2 linked regions of the Caenorhabditis elegans genome follow. The protein of the gene in region 1 purifies or fractionates together with the protein of each later gene. This does not show direct contact. Each region holds a gene or a part of one and is shown on either strand. Other genes may lie near its edges.

Region 1 (6,509 bases):
GAATTCGTTTCGCCGGGACAGCAGTTTTTGGCTATTTTTGGCTTCTATGGAAAAACGAATTCCCGCGAATTCTGGAGTTCGTGAGGTGCCGCTCGAGCGCGCTCTAATAATTATGAACACTTGAGGAGAGCGTGGCCATGTATTTCAAAAAATTTTGCGCGTAAAATATGATGCAAGAAGCCCGCAAATTGTTTTATTACGGGAACACTAAATTCAGAGAATGCGTATTGCTCAACATATTTGACGCGCAAAATGTCTCGTAACGAAAACTACAGTAATCCTTTGAATGGCTACGGTAGTGCTTGTGACGATTTACGAGCTTGTTTTTCGAAATGAGTTCAAATTTTTTATTTATCGATAAAATATGAAAATTGTGCAAAAATAGAAATTAATACGAAAAAATGAGGGAAAATAGAATATCGATGTCAGTATTCGAAAAAAATTCATTTCGAAAGCCCGTAAACCGACACAAGCACTACAGTAGTAATTAAAAGAATTACTGTAGTTTTCGCTACGAGATATTTTGCGCGTCAAATATGTTGCGCAGTACGCACTGTCTACTTGAAAAATCCTTTTTCCCAATACATTTTTCTGTAAACTTTAGTGTTTTTCTGGGTTCCCCAAAAATTTCCACAAAAATTGCGCGTAAAATATAGTGTTTTTCACACACACTCAATTCCTAATTTCTTTTAGGTACACGTGTCTCGTCGTAGTGTTGGTTCAATTCATTGGCATCCATTTACAATTCCAGATGCTCCAATCTCTTGTCAATGTATGTGGCCAGTGGATCGATACGGTCATCAGGAGTTCTAGTCATTTTAGCCCCTTTTTGCGCACGTGGTGTCAGGATGTCCCATTACGGTTTGATCTACAAAAAATGCGGGAGTTTTTTTCTGCCTAAAAAAAGTGACGCCATCACGTTCTTAACCATACAGCATCAGTGCAGAACTCTGCGTCTCGTCTCCCGCATTTTTTGTAGATCGACGTAGATCAAGCCGAAATGAGACACTCTGACACCACGTGTTGCTGCTTAAATTGTCAGTACAAAACGTTCCATTTTTCCCATTTTTCTCATTATTCTCTCTACTTACAAACTAATGGCGGGTAGGTGTGCATTTTACGACTGATTTTTTTTCTTGAAATGAAACAGTTTTTATTGAAAAAGGACAATTCTTGAACAACTTAACAAATAAAAAACACAACAAAAAGACGAAAAAATTCAAATCATTTTTTCCGAATCTCCACAATCCGTCTGGGCACTGAAGCGGCGATCACTTTTGCCTCAGAAGCTTGAAGAATTCCGCGTTGATTGATAAATTCGCAGAATGCTGGAACACTTCCGCCGACGCCAAAGTAGAAGAATTTCGCGGCGAACCATCTGAAATTGAAGGGCTTGAAAATGGAAGAGTTTGAATCTCTTCCATGTGTCGATTTACGCAGCTCGTGTAGTCCTCGAGGAGAAGTTTTCGGCAAAAATTCGTATTCTGTGTGGGTTTTTTCAATGAAAAGAGACTCATTTTCAAGGAAATTCAATATTTTTTATATTTTTCGACACGATTTTTTAACCAAAGAAAAATGAAATTTATTTTAATCGGAATATTAAAAAAAACAATTTTTTGGGCAGAAAACATAGATTTTTAAAAAAATTTTTATTTAAACTATTTTTATCGAAAATTATACTTAAAAACGCTAAGAAATTCTTAAGAATGGGTCTCGCCGCGAAAAAAAGTTTATGGTAAAAAATCTCAGAACTTTTTGATATTAAAAAAAGGGGAAGAAGCGTTAAAGCTAATTCAACATTTTAAAAATTTTTTCTAATTTTTAAAAAAATTTTTCGACAAAAAAGGTTGTTTGTATACAAAAACCAACAAAAAACGTTCACTTTTCGTGATCAAAATCGATTTTCTGCGATTTTTGTCTAGCAAAATTGCCAAATATCATGTTAAGTACAGAAAAAAAACGGTCTCAAGCTTTAAAAAAAAAACTCTCTTCTCCTCGAGGAATACACGAGCTGCTGCGTAAATCGACACAAACGATCTTACGCGACTCCGTCATCCTTGATTGTTGCAGCGACCGCATCGTGGAGAGCTTGATAGTCATCTTCGTTGTAAATGGTTTCCGATGAGAGAATGAAGTCGAATCTGGTAAATGGAATATAACATAAAGTTCTGCGTCTTAGGCCCCCCCCCCCCCCCGTCTCCAGCCGGGCGCTATACAAAACGTCCACCAAGACGAGTCTACATCGCCGCCCGGTTAGCTCAGTCGGTAGAGCACCAGACTCTTAATCTGGTTGTCGCGGGTTCGAGCCCCGCATTGGGCTGATGTCTTTTTGCTGCTTACTTTCTTCCGCTCAATCGATTCGGAACCTCTTCCCATCCCATTGCTTCTCCTTGAACAACTGCTGAATGCGGATTTTCTTCGAAGTTTGGAAGTGTGAAGAACTCGATGACTGACGCGTTCTGCAATGTTTTAGATTAATTTTTTGTTTTAACTCATCTCGTAGACTTACAAAGTCCTGAGCGAAAACTTCCTTAGCTCCGTGTACCGCCGTGAGAATTGATGGAAGAGCTGCTCCACAGCCGAGCTCTAGAACTGATTTTCCGGCGAAAAGCGTTTGATTTTCTTCGATATAGTCGCAAAGATCGACGGTGCATTCCCAGATCTGCAAATTTATTTATTAAGTAAAAATTAAATTTAAAAAAAAACATTAAATTTTTATATTAGAAGAATTTTTTTTTTTTTTGCAAAATTGGATTTAATTTCAAAATTTCAATTTTTTTCTCAAATTTTTTTCTGAAAGAAAATTGAAAAAAAACGCTATTCTCAAAATTTTTATGCCACTAGATTTCGAACGCTTCAAATTAAAAAAAAATCGCAAATAGAATTCAAAAAAACATTTTTTCTGAAAATTTGAATTTCTAAATATAAAATTCGCAGAAAATCCAAATATATATTTATTTTGAATTTTTTAAAATTTTGGGAAAAAAAATTCAAATTTCAATTAGAATCAGTGAAAAACACGAAAAATAGGACCTAGTTTATCGGATAATTTCACAAAAATTTCTGAAAAATTCTCAAAATTATTTTTAAAAATTCCAGAAAAAAGGAGACTCAAAAAATTTAAAATGCAGAAAAAATCTAATTTTTTCAAATTTTTTAAAACAATATTTTATCGATTTTTTTTCGATTTTTTAAAATTTTCTTATGTTTGTTCAAGTTATTTCCATTTTTTTTTCACTTTCCCAAATAATTTTTTTTAATTAAAAAAACTCCAATTTTCAGTCAAAAATGTCGTTTTTTTTCTAAAATTCACGTCACAATCAGCACCTTAAATCCACCCTCATATTTGTGAACTGTAATATCGGACGTTTCCATATTTTCCAGCTCTTTTTTGTATCTTTCTTCTCCATTAAGCTCATCAATTCCCATTCGAATTTCCACTTCGTTCAAGTAGGAGATTTCTCGGCCATTGGTGAGCTTCAGCACGTTCATTCTGAAAAAATCTGGAATTTTTCGAAAAACTTGATTTTTTAAAAATTTTGGAATATCTGGAAATGTTTCAAAAAACCCGGAAGTTTTTAAAAAATTCTGAAATTTTCCAAAAAATTTGATCTTTTTTTTTTTGAAAAATATGATTTTTTTTAATCTGGAAATTTCCCGAAAAATATCAACTATTTTTCAAAAAATCTGAAAAAAAATTTTTTAACCCGATAAAATATCAAAATTGGTAAAAATCTAACGCAAGTTTGAAAAAATAAAAATAATTTTTTTTTTCGAAATAAATTAAAAAATTTTATTACATATATATTTCTCGTATATATACACAATAAATTGTTCGAAAAAAAATTGAAATAAAAATCTAAAAATTTTTCGGCGATTAATCACAGTCGTTGGGAGGATAAAGCAGAACAATATAGAGGAAACAGAATTTCTACGAAAAAAAAAATTATTTTTAAAAAAATTAGAAAAAAATCGGGGGATATTGTTTTCAAAAATCTAATAACCGGTAGGGGGTATATCCAAAAAAAAGAATTTTGTTAATTTGAAAAATATTGAAAAAAAAACTCTAATTACGGGGGTTAATCTAAAAGAAGACGTAATTTTGCCTGTAATTGGCTAATTTTCTCTCAGTGTCGATTTACGAGCGTTTTTTTTGATAGACAATTCGAAAAATTCCAATTTTTAGAAATTTTTTTTTTTTGTGGAAAATTTAAAAATTAGTTTTTTTGAATTTTTTTTGAAGAAAAAACTAATATTGCGATTATCGCAGAAAATTTTTTAAAAATAATTTTTCAAAAAATCGGTTCAAAAAATTCAATTTTCGGTTTTTTCCATAGAAAATATTGAAAAAAAAATCCAAAAATTTTCGACAAAAATCGTAAGCTCCGCCCATTTCTTGGCTATCACATTCTGAGAGAAAATTAGTCAGTTTCACACACAAAAAAACATGAAAAATGAGAGAAAATTGAGCAAAAATTAGAGTTTCGAATTATCGATTCAACGCATGGCTAACAGTTCCACCAACAGCTGCCGCCCAGCTTGCCTGCCTTGATTCTTCACTGCTTATCACATTTTTCATTTGAGACTCGTCGAATCGGGCCACAGTTCCAATTACACGGGCCAATGTCTGCAAAAATTTAGAAAAATTAGTTCAAATTTTACGAGATGAGCCAAGAAATGGGCGGAGCTTAAACTAAACATTTCAAAAAAATTGACTTAATTTTATTTTTTGAAAATTTTAAATTTTCTTTTTAAATTAAATTAATTTTAAATTCTCCGCCCATTTATTGGCAATTTTTCAAAAATTTTAGAAGTAGCTCCGCCCATTTATTGGTTTTTTTTACTTTTTTTCTAGATTAAGCTCCGCCCAATTATTGGCAATTTTTCGGAAAAATTTCAGTGTAAAATTGCATGAAAATCATGATTTTTCACCCAAAAATTCAAAAATTCAATTTCCCCTTACCACAGATTCTTTTCCAAGAGATTCTCGATTAGTCATGTATCGATATAGTACATTTCGTAGATATTCAGCTTCTGCCGGATCAGCAATTCCGTGTAATTCCATAGATTTCGTTCTGCCAGTTGAAGCATTTCCATTGGATCGTGGCGTCTTCTCGTTCCGTGAGACTTGCATTCGTAGATCATCTGCTTCGGTTAGTGAGGCGTCAAGCTTTTGTTTTAACGAGGCAATTTCTTCTTTGAACTGCAAAAAATGGGGCTTTTTTAGGGATTTAGTGCTCGAAAATTGAAAATTTCTCGATTTTTTTTGAGATTTTCAGTCAGTGTTGGAAAAATGACAAAAATATTTAAAAAAAAATTTTTTAATGTTAAATTCGAAGCATAAACTCGATTTTTGCTGAAATTTATGTCCGAGAAACTTGAATTTACGCTCGAATATTCGTTTAAAAAAAACGAGAAAATTTCCATTAAACAGGCAGAAATTTCTGAAAATCGACAGCTTTTCTGCCAAAACTCGATGACTCTATTTTCCAAAATTCTAGCTATTTTTAATTGGAAGCATTAGAAAAATACATTTTTTGAGGTTTTACACACGATTTTTAACGGAAAATTCAAAATTTTGAGCTGAAAATTGCTCTTTTTCAGTTGTTTTACCAATTTTCAAAACAATTTTCAGCCATTTTTTTCCAGTTTTTTTAGCCAAAAATTCGAATTTCTAGCGGTTTTTAGTTCATTTTTGACGATTTTCATCCAAATTTCCTCCATTTTCTCCCAATTTATTACCGAAAACTCGCTTCTTCTATCCTCTTCATCCATCTGTTTCTGTACTTGTAATTGCCCATTTTCAGCAGTTTCTTTTGAAGTTTTCAGTCGTGTTAACTCCTCTTGAACCATATCAAATTGCTGATTTTTATCATTCAACTCATTGTACAACTGCTTGACTTCTTTCTGAAGTTCTCGTACAACCTTCCTTGCATCTGTATCTGCTTTCACTGCTTTCGTCTCATTCGCTGCCGTTAGCTTCTTCACTTCAGCTTCAAGTCCTTCAATTCTGTCCGTGAGCTCTTTTGCTTCTCCTTCTAACATTTCTTTTTCAACTTCCCAGTGGCTTCTGTCCTTCTCTGCTGAAATTTCCTTAATCTTGAGCTCTTCAATTTCAGACTCCGAGCTTTTCAGCAATTCTTCCAGTGCTCTAAGCTTCTGCTCCGATTCTAGCTTCGCTTGCTCCGCCGAGGCTTCAAGTGTTTTAAATCGAGACTCTGAAGCTTCATCCTGAGAATTTTGAGCCTTTTTCAGTTTTTCTTCAAATTGAGAGGTTAGCTTGGCGATTTTCTTCTCGGCTGAAGCCTTCAACTCGTTGTAGGCCGTTTCTTTGACCTCTAAGGCCGAGCCCATTGTCTCCAGCTCCTTGGCAAATGTCTCTCTGAAAAATTTAAATTAAAATTTGATTTAAAATCTGAATTTTAAAAGATTTTCAGTCAAATTTAGCTAAAATTGTGAAAAATTGAATATTTTTGCGTTTTTTTTTCTCAAAATTTTTAAAAATTTCT
Region 2 (5,275 bases), on another chromosome or scaffold:
GGGTATTGAAGGTTCTTTCCCGGAGATCACGAGTCATATCTGAAAACTGTCAGTATGCAGATGGGGCATGGTCTGAAGAATACGGTGGGTGAAGGAAAATCATCCATTCATACCTGACCAGTTCCTGCAATACTTGTTTCGTGACGTAGGGATAAGCGTTGTTTTGTTGAAAGTAGAGTTGCTCGTCCTTCAGGGGTGAACGATTGAATATGTTCCTTAGGTTTTGTGGTTAGATAACTTAAAGGTCCCCATTAACTATTTTGCCCCCAGGAAGCAGTTCCCAGTTGATGGGGCCGTACACTCCCCACCACACTGAGAGCATGACGTTTTTGGGGTTAAGGTCGGGTTTGGCGGCACCCTGTGGGGTTTCTCCTTCTACAAACCACTGGGCACGCGTGTGGTTCTTATCATGGAGGACCCACTTCTCGGTTCCAGTGATGAGTCGGCCCAAACATCGATCGGCCCCATGGAGAGTGAGGGGTGAAATGGAATCATCCACTCAAAAATCATGGTTGGCTTGTGTCGAAGAGTGAGGTATGAATCGACCCATAATTTTCTTCATTCCAAGAGCTTCCCAGCCCCGTACGATGATGGTTTGATAGGATTGAAGTGCGGTTGACAGCTCACGGGAGGTTTGGAAAGGATCCGTTGCCATGGCTTTCTGCAACGTGTCCAAATCCAATTTATGGGGTCTCAGAGTCTTCGAGAGAAAAGTCGTCCTTTTCGAAGTGATGGAACCAAATGTATATAGTATTATAGTGGCGGACATGTCGATGATAAACATCCTTCAGGAGACTTTCCGAATCCTTCATCGTGGTATGAGAGAGAAAAAGGTGCATCGAACCATGTCGGATGTGGATGGCACTAGATAAATACATTGTCGGCTAACTGAACTCAGACCAAAGGGAAAGGAGTGGGGTGATTTTCAAAATGAAGTTCCTTTACTCGTTGTTATACCCTAGCAACAAGGGAACACCAAAGTGCAACTGCGGCTAGCGTTGGAAAAGCAAACCCAGTCACAAAGATTTCCGGTTCAACCTAATATTTTGCAGAAATTTATTTTGTAAGTTTATTCTGGTTCCTGAGAGTTAATACTGATAACTAATTTCAGTAAAACATGGAAGAAGATAGAATATCAACTAATTTTTATTGCGAGTTAGGCGTTTGCAGAACATATGTTGAAATTTTCTTTGTTTAGGTGCTATTTATTTTATAAGTACTATAATTACGTTAATATTATCAGAAATTGTTTCGAAGTTTCATTCTTTGTCGGTGTTTTTTCTAACACGTTCCTAGAAATGAGATCTTGGATTGCCGCAATTATTTCAATAGAAAGAATGATGGCCACAAAAAAGTGATTCGATTACTTTTTATCATTACCGATAAAGGCTCTCCAACATTCCAAAATTTGCATTTATTTTATTTAATGGTGTTCTGAGTAACGTTGTTATGTTTGGGTTTTGTGAATTGCGACTACCTCTAGAAACAGATTGCACAAGCTTTAATTGTGCCGCCATCCCTCCATGCAGTCAGGTATTATCAAAATTTTTTTAAACAATAAATAATAATTCTGCATTTGTATAATCAAAATTTGAGTTGTGAATGTAATTTATCATTGCACGTTTCACTGCTATTCCAGTAGTTTCAAGCAATCTCGAGAATTATTTTTTGCACAACTACAGTATGCTTCACTGCAATATTATGCTCCAGTCTGTGTTGGTTATCAATTAATAAAAGAACAGTTACTCTAGCCCTTCGTAAAGCCAACTTTATGTCACTGACTGATGGATTATCAACACTCTTGTTTGATTTGATTCCATCTTTAATTTTTAATTCTGGACCCATTGAAATTGAAGTAATTAAAAAATTAAAAAATTGTACAATATGCATATTTCTTCAGAACCGTGGTCCGGTAATGGGTGCAAATCGTCAAACTGGAAGATTGGTGGAAGCGATTGTAATGGTGAAGCTGATGAAAACGACGAAGTCCGTACAGACGACAATTTTCTCAAATATTATTCGAGTCAACGTGAATTGGTGAATGTGATACATGTACATATATTGTAAAAATATGAGAGAATTTAATGTTTCAGAAGATACAAAACGACGTTTTAAAACGCCGAAACTATATTTTATCGATTTGAAATAAAAATGGAACAAACCAATGTACTCACAAAAAGTTAGAATAATCATTTGAAATAAAAACAACAGATAGGTTTGAAGCAGTTGTAACTCATCTTTTTTTCCAAATTTTGGAAAACTGTGCAATCTTGTTTATACAAAGATGGCTTATTTTTCGAAGTACCGAATTTCCTCTACGGTAACGCTCCAGGAGCGATGACTTGCTAAATATCATGGATGCACTTTGAAATCAAGATCTTACCAAGCTACATAAATTAAAAGTAAAAATGGAGATAAACATTTTTCTTTTCTTCTTATTCATACCTTGGTAAACGACAATACTCACGAGAATAAAATAATTATCACCGTCTCGTCTCAAATAATCAGAACAACTCATTTCAAAGAGTCATACCAAGCAGGAAGATTTTGAATTGTTATTCACTCGAATACTTTCAAAAATGGAGAACTTATCAACGGCTTACTATGTTTTTCATTCGGTTGGCATTTTAATGATATTTTCCAATTTGGTGTTAAATTTGCATATTCTACGAAAATTTGTTAAGTGAGTCGATATATTTTTTTTGTTTGTATAAAAAATTAAAAATTTTTAGCGATTGGAAAACATGGAAAAAGATTGATTACCAATTATTTTTGGTTCGTATCATTTTAGAAGTCATAAATATGTTTGCAGGTTGACATAAAATGACAAAAACTATTTATGTATATTTGATGAATTTTCAGCTGTCAACTACTTTGTTTTGTCTACTGTAGATATCTTTTCTGATATAATTCCTTATGAATTTATCATTACACCGGGTATAATAGCTTACAATTTTTTTGAGGCTCGATCATTTCTTGCCGCCATCATTTCTGTAGAACGAACTCTCGCAACAACAACTCCAATATATTTTTATAATTATCGAAAAACCATCTCTAATTTTCCAATTTATATATTTTTAATTACAACTTCAATTGTATGCAACACAGTTCTTTTTAAAGTCTGTAATTTTCAATTCGAAAGAGTGGATGGATGTGCAAGTTTCTACTGTTCATTAACTACTTGTTTTCAATCATATGCTGTTATAACCCGGATAATCTATACATCTACCAATATTGTTTTCTCTACTATTTTAAGCATACAATTGATATTTCTTTCATGTAAAAGCACAAAAATATCCAGCGATCTTCAAAAAGCTAACCTTTTATCATTGACTGATGCTATATCAACATTCATTTTTGATCTTCTGCCATCTTTAATAATCAATGTTCGACACATTGAAATCAAGGTTCGAGATAGTTAATAATTTTAAAGTAAAATTTGATTCAGAGTCTTGGACCAATAATCGGGACACTTCGTTCAACAGGACGTTTAGTTGAATCAATGGTTGTGGTTAAACTGATGAGGAAAGATACATCGGTTAATCAAATGAGATAATAAGTTTTATGACGACATCGAACTTTCAACCAGTGCAAATTTTACTTTGAAAATTAATTCTTCTGTGGATGAAAAGTTTGAGAAAAAAAAATTCGTGTTGCGTTTTTCAGTCATATTTTAGTATCATCAATGTTTTCTGAAATTTGTAACTACCGTTTTGAATAAATTCTTAGAAAAAAAATAAAGCTTCAGTTTTATCTGCTACTGCGCACATTACATATGTTTAAACTTATTGGTCTATTTTGCTGGCTATTTTGAAAAAGCCACACAAATGCGAATACGCAAACACTTTGGTTTTCTATCCATTAATTCACAGCTCTGAAACTTAAACTGTCAGGAAATTCAATGTTTTCACGAAGAGCCAGTTCATCGTGCCCATGGTATGCGTATATTGTGCACTATAGTAATGTTGATGGTCTTTGGAAACAAATGCACGTGACTTTAACAACTCTCAATTCGAAAACGAATAACATACTGCGTAAATATCGTTGCTTTCGTAGAAGGCAATCCTCATAACATATCATCTTGTATTCCGTTTGATCAGAATCTAAGTGCTCATTTACGTCTCCTTCCTTTCTTTTGCTCTCACTCACTTAAAATGGTACTGCTTACCGTCGCTTATTCGATTATCTTCCTTATTGGAACTTCAATGGCATTTTTTAAAGCTTTTCTAAATTTTTATATTCTACAAAAGTTGATAATGTGATTATGTTTCTGAATTTTTCTATGATAGATAATATTTTTAAGTTCTCAAAAACGGGAAAGAAAATCGAATATCAATTGGTGCTCTTTCTTGTTGTGCTTGACGCGTTCAATGCACTTATTGGTTCATTAATCTAATGGAAAATTGAAATAATATTTTTCTTACAGCATTCATTTACTATTGTTTGTCTATAGTGGAATTTTTCGTCAATAAGCTTCCAAACGAAATTACTTTTATGTTTGGTTTAGTGTGTTTTAGTTTTATGGAAATGAGATGTTTTCTTTCCGCAATTATTGCAATTGAAAGAGTAATTGGAACAGCGACTCCTATAAAATTTCATAACTACCGTAACCGAGTCTCAAATATACCGATTTTTCTGTTTGTTTTTGCTACTGGCGTATCACTAAATGCAGTTCTCTTTGGTTACTGTGGATTTCGCCTGGAACCAAATCCTAATTGTGTGAACTTTTTCTGTTCTACTCCTCTCTGTTTTCAAGAATATTCTTCAATTACTCGAATATTTTATTCATCGATCAATATTTTATTTTCGACTATTCTTTGCATTAAACTATTTTTCATGTCTTCTAGTCAAACATCGGATCTTCGAAAATTGAACTTGATTTCCTTAACTGATTGTTTTTCGGTTTCATTGTTTGAACTAATCCCGTGGATTTTGTTTACATACGAAATTGTTAGCGATGAGGTGAGAAATTATTTTTTTGAAAACTGATATTTTAATTTACTATTTTCAGGGTCTTGGGCCAGTTGTTGGAGCTTTTCGTTACACGGGAAGAGTATTTGAATCAATTGTAATTGTGAAATTAATGAGAAAAGATTTGGTGAACCCGCGTGGATTAATGATTACAATAACATAATAATCACAAAAGGAAGAAAAATAAAATTGTTGAAATTTTTGTGATTTTTTTCACACCGCAAAAACTGAAAGGGAAATTCAGTTTACTGTAACTTTTCTCAGTAAAAAACTGTTTCCAGTGAAGTATAATCAACTTAAAGCT

Evidence for each region. Proteins that work in one complex are often made in the same cells at the same time.
Region 2: the proteins of metl-18 (region 1) and srbc-45 fractionate together in Caenorhabditis elegans (co-fractionation; one large-scale study listed by BioGRID). This does not show direct contact.

What each region holds. Positions count from the first base shown.
Region 1 is NC_003281.10:3,422,724-3,429,232, reverse strand, and holds metl-18 (protein-histidine N-methyltransferase), read right to left. Parts: upstream 3,496-6,509; 5' UTR 3,493-3,495; coding exon 3,328-3,492; intron 2,663-3,327; coding exon 2,510-2,662; intron 2,460-2,509; coding exon 2,341-2,459; intron 2,335-2,340; exon of another isoform or gene 2,241-2,334; intron 2,142-2,240; coding exon 2,043-2,141; intron 1,379-2,042; coding exon 1,225-1,378; 3' UTR 1,139-1,224; downstream 1-1,138. Other genes in the region: K01A11.1 (Spaetzle domain-containing protein), read left to right, coding at 694-813; golg-4 (GRIP domain-containing protein), read right to left, coding at 4,490-4,627, 4,964-5,203, 5,743-6,382.
Region 2 is NC_003283.11:12,800,995-12,806,269, forward strand, and holds srbc-45 (Serpentine Receptor, class BC (Class B-like)), read left to right. Parts: upstream 1-2,579; coding exon 2,580-2,683; intron 2,684-2,732; coding exon 2,733-2,812; intron 2,813-2,862; coding exon 2,863-3,407; intron 3,408-3,448; coding exon 3,449-3,556; downstream 3,557-5,275.